Xenopus tropicalis: one gene and its partners. The protein of the gene in region 2 binds, or shares a complex with, the protein of the main gene of each other region. Links are inferred from orthologs where the notes say so. Each region holds a gene or a part of one and is shown on either strand. Other genes may lie near its edges.

Region 1 (5,540 bases), about 11 Mb from region 2:
GACCTTAATACCTTTTTAACATACCAGTGGGTCATTCTATCAATTTAAAAAGAAAAAAAAACGCACAATTATTTTTGTCTATTTTAAAGCAATAGTGGATCATTGTGTGCAATGTATTGCCTCCATATTTACCCTCTGATCCTTCACAGCTGCGGTCTGGCTCAGGTAGCTTGTTATTCTGCATCCCCATGAATTTAAAGGGACAGAAAGATGTTCCACTTTAAACAGGGTGATAAGGTTGATATAGGCTTATTCCCATGCTGCTGTTAAAACTGCAATGTTTCACTATCCCTTTTATACCGCCTTAAAAAGTTAAGCTCAATTAACAATGACACTTCCCCACTAGTAAATCTTTCTGGTATTTAAACAAGCGCCTCATCCAGATCTACCAAATAAATAGTCACTTATAATTTAATATATATAATTAACTAAGAGCACTGCAAATATTGTATTTCTTATGCTTGTCCACTCAAACCAAGTTCCCCAACAGAGAACAGGTTTTGTTAGAAGCACCAATATGGTCAGAAAACAGCCGCTGTAGTTTAACAGTTCCCTGTCTCCAACTGCTTTAAATGGCCTTTCTGCATCTTATTATAACAGAAACAGATAGGCCCTTCTTCCTGAACTTCATTAAATGGCACAGAAAGGATCTGACAGCTTCTATTGGAAATATTTCATCTCAATACAGAATTTCATTAAATTAGCTTCGGCTCTTCTCCCTCCCGTCAGCTTATATTAAGCTGAGCCCACATCTTGCTGATAAAATTCAGCGCTAAAATGGAAAATGTCAGGGATGTCATTATCATTCATTTTAACGGCAGTTCCCCTTAAACCCCAGGATGAAATATCCAATAAGCATACCATTTTTTTTTTCTAGAGGTCTTGTCAATAAAACTTTTATCTTTCAGATTAATTACTTTAAAAGGAAATAATTACTTTGAAAAGAATAATAAGTATGGGTCTTATTAACCAGTTTTGAGGGATTCATAAAGCAGTCAGTAAAGAGTCTCCTAACGCCTGTGGAGCACCAATATGACTATATGCTGTAGCCTGTTGACTGGTCTAAAGTATTAACGTAATAACATAGCAGATGAGGTAAAAAACAAAAACAAAACACCAAACACACACATTTTTCTACAGGTGAAACCAGAGGGGAAAAATCCTTCTTTATTCCAATATGACAATCAGACCAGTCCCCGGGTCAGCTTTGCTCTGAGTATTGTCCGTGGCAGGGTATTTTCTGGCATTTTTAGGCCGTTGACAAGTAGCTGCTACTAAGTAGCTCCATGTCTCTTAGCCCTAACAGCTAAGGCCCTGGTCAGTCAGACAGGGAGAGAAGGGGACCGCTCTAATACACATTGCCCTGTAACTACTAGGGATGCACCAAATCCAGGATTCGGTTCGGTATTCGGCCAGGATTAGGCCTTTTTCGGATGGATTCGAATTCGGCCGAATCAACGGTCCTGGCTGAACCGAATCCCAATTAGCATATGCTAATGCCCTGCAAGAGCTGTTGTGTCCTGCTTCCCCCACCTTGCCTGCCCACCGATGTGCCGTACCCTGCTTCCCCTGCAAGAGCCGTTCTGTCCTGCTTCCCCCTGAGAGCTGTTCGTAACTTGACAGCAGCCGTTATGCTGCTTACAAGGAATGTTCGGCTCTGTTGTTCTCTAGCCACAATGAGCACAGAGCCAAACGTTCTTTATAAGCCGCACAGCGGCTGCTGTCAGAAGTTACAAACAGCTCGGGGGGGGGGGGGGGACACGATCACCTGTAAGGGGGTGCAGGCGGGAATTGTGCAGTTGTGATAGAGGGCCCTACAGCAGGCATATGAATGAACCGAAATTCAGCCGAATCCCTCACCATGGATTCAGGGTTCAGCTGAACCCAAAAAACAGGGTTTGGTGCATCCCTTGTAGATTGTAAGCTCTTTTGGAAGCTCTTCACCTCTTGTATCGGTTATTGATTGCTTTATATGTTACTCTGTATGTCCAATGTATGAAACCCACTTATTGTACAGCGCTGCGGAATATGTTGGTGCTTTATAAATAAATGTTAATAATAATAATAATAATAATAATAATCCCTAGTAGCTACATTGGTCATTGGTACATCACAGCTTCAGCATGCATGAAGCTACACGTAGCTGAGGAGAAGCTAAGATTGGCCCAAAAATACCAGGGTCAGATTAAATAAAAATGTCATATTTAGAGACAAAGGGACATAGAAATCCTTTGGAAGGTCACATCCTGCCCACAGGCCTCCGGTTGGACAGACCTACTCTACAGAATCCAACCTGTGACTGTTATATAAAAGGACGGGGGGGGTTGTCATTAAGTAATCAATGGAAACATTTTTGTTGCTCAGTACTCACATCCTCAAGGAGACGGCCCTCCACCCGCAGCTCCCATGAGGCAACAGTTCCCTCTCCATCTTCAGCATCTGATTTTGCAGGGTTGAAAGTATTTGAAATGAAGATCCGAAGTTTTCTCTTTTGCTAAAAATTAAGAAATTTGTATAAGAACAGATAATGTCAAAGAAGAAAATATAATTAAAAATTCCACTTTGAACTTAAAGAATTTCTGTCCAGAATACCTTTATTGGTCTCTTCAAAGCCTCCTGAATATCAAGCCGTTTCCTCATGATTGTTTGATCCAGCTTTCTCTCGAACGCTAACAGATCCATGTAAGCCTGAGATTCGGGTACCAGTTCCCTTATCTGTAGGAATAGAAAATAATATATATATATATTGTCGATTAAAAAAATAGAAAAAAGTTAAATAACTATGGTGCCATCTTCTCGAGTACTTACCCTCTGAGGTAGTATCTTATCAGCCATTTTCTTCTTTTTAGCACTGTATGAAGAAAAGAACAATAACTTTTACTCATTTATGGATCCACTTTAAGCCTCTAAAAGAGGATATATTAGCTAAGCCTATTACATACAACCATTTGTTCAACTACATTGGCACACATGGGAAGATATGCTTTTTGGCTATCCATTTGCTCTGCAAATGGCCGACAGTAAGAACATTTAAAGCTGGCCATACACGCACCGATTCACATGATATTCGGTGCGTGTATGGCAAGTTGGCGAGTCGAAGCTGCTGATATCGGTCGACTCACCGATCGGGCCAGTTAAAAGATTTTGGTTGGGCGCCATAGAAGGCGCCTGACCAAAATCTGCCTTCAGCGCTGAATCGGCAGAAGGAGGTAGAAATCCTATTGTTTCTACCTCCTTATCTGCCTCTTTCAGCCCTGAAGGTTAGTGGCAGATCGCCACATGTGTGGCCACCTTAAGGCCTATGGAAATCTGCAGGGAGAGAACCACATCTGATAGGATTTTTCTGCCTGATAGATAACCAGCTGATTATCAGGCAGGCTGGCTGCCGGGATGGCTGCTAAGTCGGTCTGAAGCAACAGTGCGGAGAACTAAATTCCACTGGAATCATTAATGTGCCCCAATCTGCACTGTACACTGAGGGTAAGAACTCACGTAGTGGTTTAGTAATCCACAATTGATCTTGCCTGCAGGAAGAAACTTTGCACGACTTTGGAATACTCCTATTGTTGCCAGTGGAAAGCCATTTCGGAGTGGTAGTCGCCCGTGATAGCGTTCTATTGCGGGCAACCGAACTGCTCCGTTGGTTCTTACCCTAAAAGTGGCCATACATGAGGGGGTTGGGCACATATGTCCATGTGGCATTTAAAAACTACAGTACAGAATACTTCAAATAAGCCATTTAACTTTAAGCTGCAGCTATGCTAGTGAGCCATGTATTTTGAGAAACCAACTTAAGCAGTTTTGGAGATATATAGGTCCTTCTAAAGCAGGAACTGCTAATTCAAATCAAAACATTACCTATGGTTCCTATTCTGAGCAGCCTGTTGTTGCACCTGCTGTATTTGCTGGGGTGCAGGACGTTTCCGAGACTGGTCCATGCCTGATTGGGCCATGCCTGGCCGAGCAGCTGGACTTCCACCATAACCAGGGGGGCCCATTGCTGGTCCCTGAGGAGTCATTCGGCTACCTGGAAGCATTCCAGGTCTCTGCACAGAATAAATATAGAATAAGGTTTCATTACACAAGAACTGACACTGTTTGATATACATTATTTGAGAGACACACACCGTGCATTATACTGTTCATTTTATACAACTGTATATTAAAATCTACATCGGTCTTCTTGCTTGTTCCACCCAACACTATTTTTCTCCCTCATCTACCATGTTCTGCATATTCATGAAGGCAGGGGTAACCTTTTTTTTTTTTAGCAGTGAACCACATTTAAATATAAAAAAAAAAAAAAAAAAAAAAAAACAGTTGGGGAGCAACACATGCATGAAATAAATTTCTAGTAACTGTCAAATAAGGGCTGTGCTTGGTTATTTGGTAGCCCAATTTGTACTAGCAGCCTACAGGTGACTCTGTTTGGCAGTACAAAAGGCCTCCAAAACAGAAATTCAAAAACAAGTATGTGCTTTGGGGGGACTGTGAGCAACATCCAAGGGGTTAGTGAGTAACATGTTGCTCCCAAGCCACTGGTTGGGGATCACTGAATTAAGGAGACTCTCCCTTTTTCATAGATTATAGTTTATAGTAGCTGTTTATTTAAATATTGTAACTCTTAAGCACATACAAATATTAATAGTATTGCATTATGCTGCTAAGCAGAGTGTGCCATGAAATCTGCTCGAGAGCCAAGAATGGAGTGGAGTAAGTGGATGTCTAACATAATAGACAGAACACGACTTCCCCCTTTCAGCTCTCTAATCTCTTGACTGATGTCCCATGGAGTGGTTCAGTCTCCCGCAATAGATCTCTGTTATTGCAGGTGTCTAACCACTCTGAAATGTCTTTCCACCGACAACAATAGGAGTTGCTGGTGGAAAGGCCAATGTTCACTTAGTCTGCTTTTTATCCTTAGCACGCAGGTGAGGTTCAAAAGAAAACAGTTATGTCCCATACTATGTTTGCCCTCAAGTCACTGGCTTTTAACAGGGTGGACAGCTGAAAAGGAAGAAGTTAACTTCTAGCTATTATGTATTGACATACTGGTCAACATACATGGCCGGGGGTCAACATACATGGCAGATAAACTGCCAAATCCGGTCTGAAGGACCCAGCGGCTTAAATCTGCCCGTGCATGGTCACCATAACTCTGGGTTTTTTTAACAAGCAATAAGGCAGCACCAGGCTTTGAGTATGGTGTATTTGCTACAATAAATACACCATACTGTAATGTGTTAAAAGTTACACGGACAAACATTACAGTACACAGTTTTAACAGAACAAAAAATCAACAATTTACAACCTCCATATAACGTGAGTGATCAGAACAGCAATCCCAAATGTTATATATTCATAGAGCGACAGACAGCACTTGACCCCAAATGTCAGTAAGAGAACATAGCTAAATATAATACAAACAGCATGTAAACGTAGTACAAGTATGCAATCCATTATCCGGAGACCCATTATCCAGAAAATTTTAAATTACAGGAAGGCCATCGCCCATAGAGTACATTTTAATCAAATAATTC
Region 2 (5,640 bases):
CATACAACTTTTTTAAGCACAATCCTTCTATATCTAGAAGAGTATAATTCACTGGTACATTCTTAATTTTTATAGGATATGTCTCCTTTAAGGTCTTTGGTGATGTTAAAGAAACAGTTCAGTGTAAAAATGAAACTGGGTAAAATAAATCGACTGCGCAAAATAAAAATATTTGTAATATGTTACTTAAGCAAAAATGAAATCTATAAAGGCTGGAGTGAGCAGATGTCTAACATAATGGCCAGAACTCTACTTCCTGCTTTACAGCTCTCTAAGCTGTTAGCATTCAGTAGCCAATCAGTGACTTGAGGGGGGGCCACATGGGACATAACTGTTCAGTTAGTTTGGAATCTGATGCCAAGCTGCTTCATCTCAGTACCTCTGTTTTGTAGGTTGTACTGCTTGTTAGGGTTCCATTTGATGTCCATGGTTAATTTTTACTGTTGACTCTGTTTATGACTAGATTATGGTCTCTTTGATACCTAATATGTCACAAATTGACGATAGGATTTTGCATCTTTGCCTTGTATAAGACCAACTAATGTATCATTTGCAAACTGTAAATCCTATCATAATATTCCAATGTGTAGAGGAAAGCCTTTCCAAATAAGTACAGGCTGATTTAAAGCAAAAAAAAGAACCAGATTCATATTAATCTTCTTGGAATAAAGTTCCACAAACTTTTCCTGATATGCCCACCCTGAGGTAGGCAATACCGAGCTGACCTGATCTTTGGCCCAAGGGCAAAACTATTGGATCACAATTACAGTAAAAGCAGGATTTTGGGGCGAGGACTGCATCATCCATGCCCAGACTGGACTTTTTTTGGATAGATCTCAGTAAGGCAGGCCCGTTGGAGGGCCCAATACATGGATAGATAAGCTGCAGACTCAGCCTGAAGAAGATAAATCGGCACCTTACATCTCCCAATGTATTGTCACCTTAAGGCTGATGTCAGACGAGGTGTAGGGCGGATATTTTCGGCAAGCGGAAAAACGCTTGCCGAAAATTCCGCCCTACGCCTCCTACTTGTGCCTGCACACGAATGAATGGAATACGCTTGGGTGCAGGCACATGTAGCAAAAATACACATAAAAACGCGAGAGTTTGAAAGTCTCCCGTTTTTATGCGTATTTCGGCTACATGTGCCTGCACCCAAGCGTATTCCATTCATTCGGGTGCAGGCACATGTAGGAAGCGTAGGGCGATATTTTCGGCAAGCGATTTTCCGTTTGCTGAAAATATCCTCTCTACGCCTCGTCTGGCATTAGCCTAAAATGCCAGAAACAGGTGCATGGCTACAGGCCTGACCTAGAATTCAAAATAGGCCCTGGTATTTCAAGTACACAGAGGCCCAAACAGCCTCCCTGCCAGCCCAATAGATAGCAACTCCCTATGGCATCTTACAGCAGCCCCTCCGGCATTTGCTAGTATCCACAGATATCCTCCATCCTCTTGTGTCTTTGACTCTTATCTTATTACAATTGTATCTTTTATTTAATTGTGCTTATTGTAATACTTTGTATTTATCTATTTTAATACCCCCTGTTTATATTAATGTATTCTACTGTACAGCGCTGCATATATAAGTAGCGTTTTATAAATAAAGATATACATACATACATTTTCTAGTGTTATGGGACGTTAAAGACCCTTATAAACAAAGGGATATTCCATGTAACCTCTTCTTTTACATAGATATGTATATTTTTAGACAGGTCTATATTTTGTTCTTCATCCAACAATTAACAAAACAAATTACCCTGCCATGTTAGCTACTGGCGCAGATTTGGCTACAGAGTTATTCTAAACAAAATAGCAGTACAACTGTAGAGCAGGTATTAAGAAGTATATGAAAGGGAATGCACTCAGGTGACTCACACATCAGCACTAGGGCAAAGGTAAGTCTGAGGATAACCACACTAGCACGTGCTACTAACATGCTCACGCTACAGGACATGCAGCTTGTAAACAGTTCTATATATATATATGTGTATATATGCATTCCTCTCATTCCGTGCTGTCTATGGAAGGGGCACTTTCTGCAACAACACTCCAGCTGCTAAAGTATCAGGCACAGTTATGTCAGTTCTTTAAGTTATTACGCTTGTTGTGCTATTTGCTTCTATTTATGTGTTGTCAACACATTAAATGAAAGCAAACAATGCAATCAGCTAAAAAGTATCAATATAATATTTATTTTTCCCTAGATGAGTAGGAAACACAAATAGAGCATTTGGTATTAGTCAGGTAACATGAATGATTGAACCACTCTCTCCACCGACCTGTAGCACCATACATATGTTCTAGCCCAAAACCCTGCGTGTGTGGGGTGTCCCTAACTTAGAACCTCCCAAAAGGGTGAAGAGTTGTGCCACTGAGCATGTGCAGAGGATCCGTGTATGTGAAACAGATGCTGGCAGTTAGGAACCAGCAATGCAGGGATGTAGCCCTGTGCTTCCCCATGGACCAAAAGCAAAAGAATATAACAGAACCCAACCCAGGGCTTTACTAAAGGGATAATACTGGGGAAATGTTCACCCCTTTACTGTTTGGCACAATGACTGTGAATGGCAAGGGTAACAAGATCTGACATGACAGGAGAGGATAATGGTGGGGCCGGGAGTTGCCACTGAGGAGCAAGGTACTGACATGAAAGGCTAGTACTATGCCTTGCCCACTGAGCTGACAATTGGTGGGATGCAGAGTTATTTATTCTTCCTACAATAGGGCATTACTGTACATCTTCCATCTGTTGCTATAGAAATAAAAGATGGCACGGCATGACATGTCCGGATTCTGTAGCGCACAGGGACACATTCAGGGCTCATTTTGTTCTATTATTCAGCTTACTGGGCGGGTGAAGGCCCCATATAACCATTTAATATAACAGGCTCCCTTCTCTAGAGGAAGCATCATTGTCAGTAACCTAGGTGACAGGCAGAGTAGGGGCCATTGCGGGGCCTCCTGCTGCTAAGTGCCCACCAGCCCTAACACCCCCGTACTCGGGCCTGTCTCTTTGTTCTAGGTGTGCAGCTCAGGGAAACACACTAGGGGACTTCGTTTGCCGTAGGACTCGAAGTCCCTCATTGCAGTACCTTCTTATAATTCTTGCCCAGCCATAGCCGCACGTTGTCGAACTGTGCGACAGTGTCGGATGCCTCGTAAAATTTCACATTCGGGCCGCCGTCCTTCTTCCGCACCGCCATCTTCTGCCAGCTTGCCCGGCACCTCCAACCCGAGAGCTGAGCGGCACCTAGCGGCCGGAACGATAAGTGCAGCGGGACATCGGCAACCAGTGGCCCTCCAGTTGTTAGCGAACTACATGTCCCAGCATACCACGGCGGCCTTGGGCAGGATACTGCGGCTAAAAGCCACTGTGCCGCTAAAATGGGCAATATAGCGCCAAAAAGCCTGACGTGATATTATTGATTGGAAAGAAGAAGTGGCGATCACGGCGGTACGCATAAGACTTATACCGCGGTGCCAGCGCCGGGCACTTCCAGCAGGTGCGAACACTGTGACTCGAATATAAGAGTCAGTAAGTTCTTTCTACGGCCGGACTCACAGGCTGAATGTTCCTGCCCTAGTGCCGCTGGGAAACACTCGCTGCAGCAGCGCCCACACAGCAGCGCCCACACAGCAGCGCCCAGTCTTCCACAACTCAAATTGCCCCCTTCCATTCGGTGTCCTTTCCCAGCCCCTCCGTGCATTGCAGCCCCTCCAAGCATAGCTTTGCCAGGGAGCGTACGGCCGCCATGTTGGGGAAAAACGCACGCCGGCTCACGCTCTGTGTCAGTAGGCTGAGCGAGTTGGTTGGCCGACAGTCACGGTGGCCGAGTGGTTAAGGCGTTGGACTCGAAATCCAATGGGGTTTCCCCGCACAGGTTCGAATCCTGTCCGTGACGGATTCGTTTAGCTTGTAAATTCTATTTTTTTTCCTCACAAACAGAATATTCCCCAGGCTTACTGACTTTACTGTAGCTCTCCTCCTGGTGTACACTTTCTTACTGTAAATGCTACAGAGGTACTTTAGTACGTACTGTGTTTGGGCGACTTGACAATTCTCAGCGTCCCTCCAAAGTGTGACAGAATGGGGAGACTAACAAGTTGCCCATTAAAAACAATGGCGGATCGGCAGAGGGATACTGGACAAAACTTGGGCAAGGCACACACCACCAAAGATCCATGGGTGCTGCAGACCTGAACTCATTCATTTATTGTAAAACATTTTCATTTATTGAAAAAAAAATTGTATGGGTTCTGCTAAGGTTACACTAGGGCTGGGTGCAATTGGCCTTTTTATATTTGTATTTTTCTGCCCTATTAATAATTGGCATCAAGTATAAATTTTATTGGCCAGGTTGCACCTGTGTTGGGTACTGGGCAGGAAGGGGGCTGTGATAGTTACAGTAGTACAGATAGTGTGATAGTTACAGTAGTACAGATAGTGTGATAGTTACAGTAGTACAGATAGTGTGATAGTTACAGTAGTACAGATAGTGTGATAGTTACAGTAGTACAGATAGTGTGATAGTTACAGTAGTACAGTACAGTAGTACAGATAGTGTGATAGTTACAGTAGTACAGTACAGTAGTACAGATAGTGTGATAGTTACAGTAGTACAGTAGTACAGATAGTGTGATAGTTACAGTAGTACAGTACAGTAGTTAGTAGTACAGTAGTACAGATAGTGTGATAGTTACAGTAGTACAGATAGTGTGATAGTTACAGTAGTACAGTAGTACAGTAGTACAGATAGTGTGATAGTTACAGTAGTACAGTAGTAGTATAGTTACAGTAGTACAGTATAGTGTGATAGTTACAGTAGTACAGTAGTACAGATAGTGTGATAGTTACAGTAGTACAGATAGTGTGATAGTTACAGTAGTACAGTAGTACAGTAGTAGTGTGATAGTTACAGTAGTACAGATAGTGTGATAGTTACAGTAGTACAGATAGTGTGATAGTTACAGTAGTACAGATAGTGTGATAGTTACAGTAGTACAGTACAGTAGTACAGATATAGTACAGTAGTACAGATAGTGTGATAGTTACAGTAGTACAGATAGTGTGTTACAGTAGTACAGTAGTATAGTGTGATAGTTACAGTAGTACAGATAGTGTGATAGTTACAGTAGTACAGATAGTGTGATAGTTACAGTAGTACAGTACAGTAGTACAGATAGTGTGATAGTTACAGTAGTACAGATAGTGTGATAGTTACAGTAGTACAGATAGTGTGATAGTTACAGTAGTGTAGTGTGATAGTTAGTAGTAGAGTAGTGTGATAGTTACAGTAGTACAGATAGTAGTGTAGTACAGTAGTATAGTTACAGTAGTACAGATAGTGTGTAGTTACAGTAGTACAGATAGTGTGATAGTTACAGTAGTACAGATAGTGTGATAGTTACAGTAGTACAGATAGTGTGATAGTTACAGTAGTACAGATAGTGTGATAGTTTACAGTAGTACAGATAGTGTGATAGTTACAGTAGTACAGATAGTGTGATAGTTACAGTAGTACAGATAGTGTGATAGTTACAGTAGTACAGATAGTGTGATAGTTACAGTAGTACAGATAGTGTGATAGTTACAGTAGTACAGATAGTGTGATAGTTACAGTAAAGTAGTACAGA
Region 3 (5,640 bases), on a different chromosome or scaffold from region 2:
GTAAAGTTATGAGTATGTTACACTTTTGTAAACTGCTGAAGACCGTTGTACTGGGCATATCCTCTGGCATCCATGGGTGTATTGTGTGCCGTTGAGACCTTCTGTGATGCTGGCCTCTGCTGTTCAAAAAATGTCATCTGTGTTCTGCAGTGTACATCTTGCTTGTCATTAACCTGTTCAGATATACTGTTTTGCTGTATATTTGGTTTGTGCAATCTGTATGAAATGTTGACAGTACGAAGGAAAAATTACCAGGTGATAATAAGGGCCCAATCCTCACAGAATTAGCTGTGTAAAGGGATTCTTATAAATACTTTTCCAAGGTAACATGGATAGCCAAGGTAAAGACTGAGTTTATTACCAGATTGGGGTACATTACCTTTCCCACAGGAATGGTCACGTGGCTACTTGAGCCGCTTGCTGCTACTACTGGACTGTTCTAGATTTTGTTGTTGCTGTTTTGAAGCTTTGCCTGTTTATTAATTGGTATTTATTTATTATTAATTAGTATTTAGCACTTGAATTTGCAATGCATATATTTTTTGCTGCTGTTAACCTTGTCTTTTCTTTGCTCACTGCTCTGATTTGACTACTAAAAGCTAGGCTTAAAATCCATATTTCAAATCAGGTGTAGAAACATCACCGGCATGCACTCAATGGACTCCAGAACAGCAGTTGTAAAACTTCAAAAAGGCTTTATTCAAGGATCCGGATCCTTGAATAAAGCCTTTTTGAAGTTTTACAACCGCTGTCCTGGAGTCAGTTGAGTGCATGCCGGTGATGTTTCTACACCTGATTTGAGGTTGTGTTTTCCCTTGCTGCGGGTCTGGGGCATTGCACCCGGGCCACTGAGAGGAAGCAGTGAGTGTATATTTAACCGTTCACAACTGTACGTAGAATATTAATTGCACTAATATGAAGACTGAATACCTACAGAGCGAGAGGTTCGGGGCATAAGCACCTGGACCTGTAGTCTAATTTGGTGAGCGTTTGACTTGTTATAAGAAACCATTAAATGTAAGCTTAAGTTTATAGTTCACCACTACATAAGTATATAAGTGAATAGGAACGACTGGGAGCCTCCAGACAAACAGAGTGAATGGTATTAAAATCCATATTGTCCACTGTGGTGGACCCCCAGTCTTAAGGTGGCCATTCACTGTAAGATCAACTCATTTGGCGAGGTCGCCAAGTGAGCAGATCTTCTCCCGATATGCCCATCTACGGGTGGGCGATATAGGGTTAATTCAATCAAATCAGAACGGCTGGCATAGGCGCCATCGGATGGGGGACCGCATCATCGAGCCTATACGGTCCCCCATTTGACGGAAAAATCAAACCTGCCCAATCGAGATCTGCCCAATTCCAGTTTTCTGTTGGGGAGGCCTGTCGGTGGTGCCCATAGACGGGCAGATAAGCTGCCTAATCGGTCACCTTTACATAGAGCGATTTGCATAAACTGAAAGTGACCATGTACTATGGCCAAGGCCCTGTTCTTTTCTGGCTCTCTAATCTCTTTGGCAAAGGAAAAAAAACATCTGGGTCATAACGCAACATTCCTCACCAGCTCTGACATAAATTGCCTGTACAGGAAATATAAAAGGATCGACTGCACACTAAAGATCACTGAAAATTTTAAGGGCAGCAAAGTGGCGCAATGGTTAGCTCTTTTGACTTTGGGGTCCTAGATTCAGTACCTAGAACTCAAATTGACCACAGAGGGCATAATTGTTATAGGTACTTAGAGCTTTATGCTACACTTGGGAAGGGACTGGTGTGAATGATATATAATCTTTGCCAGGCGCATAAGAATGTGTTAGCACTATACAAAGAATAACAATAATTATAATGTGGCAGTGTGAAGGGGGGCTTATTATATGAGGAATATAAAAGAAGCAGCTGAATACAGGTGCTTGACATAGTACTAAAGTACTCACTTTATGTGGAGTTTACAAGAAAGTGGAGCGCACACCATATCTGTTTGGCAAGGCCACGGAAATGGGGACCTGCTGCATGATCTGTGCCAGCAATGGGGACTATGGGAGCCCTGCTGATGAAGGACACACTTTTCCCTTACCCTTCCATGGTGACTGGTTCTCCTTTCTTTCCTGCAGGTCCCTGAATTGCAGTGGGCACACTATCTTCCTCAAGGCTCCAATCTTCCCTGCAGCGTACTTGTATCTTATTACTGGACCTGCAATCAAACAAATTTAGGATATAACTGATATTAACAACTTCAGTGTTTTCCTTTATCAGTTTTAAGTCCATTCATCCCCTCCCAATTCTCTCTCCACCGCCTGATCTCTATTATTCTGCTCTCCCCTCACCTTCTCCCCCCCTTCCCCCCAACCCACTTGCTGCATTTTTTTCTGCTGGCTTGTTAACAAAAGGCCCTTATGGGGCCTCACCAGCAATGACTAGGCTCGTCCTATTTTTATCTCAGTTTTCCTCACAACCTGACTGCCTCTCCCACCTAACTCATAAACTTGCCTGTCTCTCCCTTTTTGACAATCCCTTCCCGCGCCCCCCATCCAACACACAAAGTCTCCCCTTCCCATTGCCCCCAGCTCCCCCTCCTCCCTTTACAGTACCTTAACCTTCTCCACCAATCATTTTCTTCTTCAGCCTCCCAGACTTGTCCCTCGCAATGAACTCTGGGCAACGTAGTGCCATTTTCAATTCATATTCATACTGGCGCGGCTCTCAAAACTACAACTCCCAGTCTTACCCTCAACACGGCCTTTGATTGGCCATTGCGTGCAGAATGAATGAAATTGTACAGTATTGTGATATTAGAGGGGCTGCAGTGTTCCTGCCTAATACCCAGCTGCACCATGAACACAGCCCTCCACAACCCCTTAAAATCGTGAGTATACTGGACTTAAAGATAGTTACAGCTGTGTATACTGCATTTACACTGTCTGAGACTGTATATCTTTCAGATGTATACATGTGTGTTTAGCATTATTACAACATGGACATATCTACATGAATACTATGCATGAAAGAGTGTGTCTGCCTGCCAATTTGTGTATTATAGTGTGTGTGTGTATGTAATACATTTATTTGAGATTATATATATATCTATATATATATAGATATATGTGTGTGTGTGTGTTTGTTCTGTACATTTGCATGTAGATTGTTATATATATTAACTCTTGTGGGTGCTATATATATATTAAATGTCAAAAAGTGGAATCAACCATCTATTCTGCACGTATACTATGCATTATAGAATTTCACAGTGAGGTCACATCCAGCTGCTTTTAGAGGAGGGTCTTACATCTGGATTAGACTGTATCCTTAGGGTATGTCTGAGGTCTAGACTGCGACTGCGATCGTTTGCCTATTATCTATCCATGTATTTAGCTACCTATTCATCCATCTGTCTTTGCCTATCGTTCCTTTGGGAAAGGGAATTTATTTGTGATTACCCATAGTTCACTTTTCTACAGCATTTTCATATAAAATGTACAGCAGTGTTTTGCTGATTTTAATAGTATTTGGTTGCACCTGAGTAATATGAATTTTGAAAGCTAAATTTAGGGTATTGTCTTAAAAATAAAATCCCTGTAACTTATGTTAACACTATTAATGCATTTTATGCATAATATTTATTCAAAAATATGTAATATGCTTAAATATGTGTTTTAAGCCATACATAGCACCATGCAAGCAGAGCAAGTGAGCTGAGTGCCTGGGAACCTTCTGTCCTTAATTCCTAGTGCACATCTGGGCAGACTGTATGCACGTGATAAAGTAGCCATTAACCCAGTCAGTGCCTGAAGTAATCAGACTGTAATAATAAGCAAATAATGGATACTGCATCACTCTGCATACTGTTTGACACTAAATAATTATTTGTAGTTTTGCAGCCATGAGCATATTTAAAGCTGCAGAAGATTATAGAAGAACTGCATTTTGTCAGATATGAGTAAAATATGGGTTACTGCTGTCACCTAAAATCCTATATTTCTCCCAGTGGTTAAGCTGGGGACATTTCACTTTAACTCATTCAGCTCTGACTGAATACAACTGTGAGAGGCAGTTCTCGTTCTTTCTGGTACTGTGTGCAGTTATCAGTTTAACCTAATTTGATTTGACACATGCACTGCAAAATATAGTATGACTGCTCTCTGTAAAATGCATTATATGCATGCTTTTTATCAAAAATATTTGCAGATTGTGACTGTAGCTTTGTAAGCAAATTGGCAAGGCTTCTCTCTCAAGCAATGCACTGGACATGAAGACTTGATAAGGAGAAAGCCTTTATTGAGTGAAAATCTAATGTTACAGATTATCTTATTGGTAAATTAAATTTTTGGTAAATTAAAATACAGTTACTGTTACTAATCTTGCTTTCACAAGGACTTACATATATGGCGCTGTTGTATTAGGCTGTATGCCACACTCACATATATTATAAGATCCGTGTATACCTGCTTTAATTTGACAATTCTAATTTCTTTAGTATATTTGTATATTAAGGAGACATTGTTTTAATCATTTTTTAAAGAATAATAAGTTTTATCACTTATATTAGTAAGTAAAACAAAGGAAATTTAATTTATTAGAGGCACTGTGTCCAAAAGTTACTGCTTGGTAAATTTAAGCTAGAGTTTAAATCATTTTTAGGATAATTTGGCCACCAGAGGACATGGTTTCAGTGGACTCTGTGGTTCATATGTAACTGGTTGCATTGGTGAGAAACATTAAGGCAGCTTTTACTGCCTTATACAAATAAACATAATGATGCGCAGATAAATAAGGCCATGGTAAATACCTTATATGAATTTATAGAAATATAAATTGAATATAGGCCCTTTTACACTACACTAGAACTTAGTAAAGCACAAATTATGCAGTGTAAGTCCCTGTGTGTATATATATATATATATATATATATATATATATATATATATATATATATATACAGAGATCTGCATGTGCACCCAAGCAACCCTGATATGTTTTTTCTTTATGTGTCCTAACATCATTTCTGTCATATTGTTGATATTTAGGTACTATATATACTTTAATATATATTTAATATGTACTATATATATACTTTAATAATGAATGCTCCTTATATATATTTGTTGTGTGCTCAGCCTGGTGTAGTAAAGGGGCAGTATTATGGCAGAAAATAATTGAACGTGCATTATATTTTGACTGTTATATTGGTACACACTTGCCTATCCACTCAAGCTATCATTCCTGATCTTATAAAGTTGCCATTGAAACCAGCATTGCCAGTTTCCAAGCTGTCTGGGTCCTGTCTGTGTCTCAGCTCCAATTATATGTGTGCAGACATCTCATGACAGTTCTGCCTGACTGGGTGAACCCAGCCTGTTACATATTCATATCTGTGGGGAATTCATATATATTGTATCTGTGTGCATAATAAGCATATATGCTCCCATGTATCCATAAATGTACATTTTCTGTATACATGCACATGTATTGCTAAGAAAATACCTCTTCATAATAGATTGTTATACAGTACTATAAAATAATTATGTCATGCTTTGTGAATATTAATGATGACCACTGCAGAACTGAAGACTTACCTACTGTAAGATATAACTAGAAAAATATCCTATCTGAACAAGGCAATGATACATTTTGGAAAAAAAT

What was found.
Region 1: smarcc2 (region 2) and smarcd1 share a complex: the UniProt entries of both Homo sapiens proteins name them as parts of the BAF complex. The link is inferred for Xenopus tropicalis from reciprocal best matches to the Homo sapiens genes SMARCC2 and SMARCD1.
Region 3: smarcc2 (region 2) and dpf1 share a complex: the UniProt entries of both Homo sapiens proteins name them as parts of the neuron-specific chromatin remodeling complex. The link is inferred for Xenopus tropicalis from reciprocal best matches to the Homo sapiens genes SMARCC2 and DPF1.

What each region holds. Positions count from the first base shown.
Region 1 is NC_030678.2:148,803,938-148,809,477, reverse strand, and holds part of smarcd1 (SWI/SNF-related matrix-associated actin-dependent regulator of chromatin subfamily D member 1), read right to left. Parts: intron 4,047-5,540; coding exon 3,859-4,046; intron 2,852-3,858; coding exon 2,809-2,851; intron 2,716-2,808; coding exon 2,593-2,715; intron 2,495-2,592; coding exon 2,372-2,494; intron 1-2,371. UniProt on the Homo sapiens protein: Involved in transcriptional activation and repression of select genes by chromatin remodeling (alteration of DNA-nucleosome topology).
Region 2 is NC_030678.2:137,466,327-137,471,966, reverse strand, and holds the start of smarcc2 (SWI/SNF complex subunit SMARCC2), read right to left. Parts: upstream 3,806-5,640; 5' UTR 3,210-3,805; coding exon 3,099-3,209; intron 1-3,098. UniProt on the Homo sapiens protein: Involved in transcriptional activation and repression of select genes by chromatin remodeling (alteration of DNA-nucleosome topology).
Region 3 is NC_030684.2:77,397,424-77,403,063, forward strand, and holds the start of dpf1 (zinc finger protein neuro-d4), read left to right. Parts: upstream 1-2,834; coding exon 2,835-2,866; intron 2,867-5,640. UniProt on the Homo sapiens protein: May have an important role in developing neurons by participating in regulation of cell survival, possibly as a neurospecific transcription factor. Belongs to the neuron-specific chromatin remodeling complex (nBAF complex).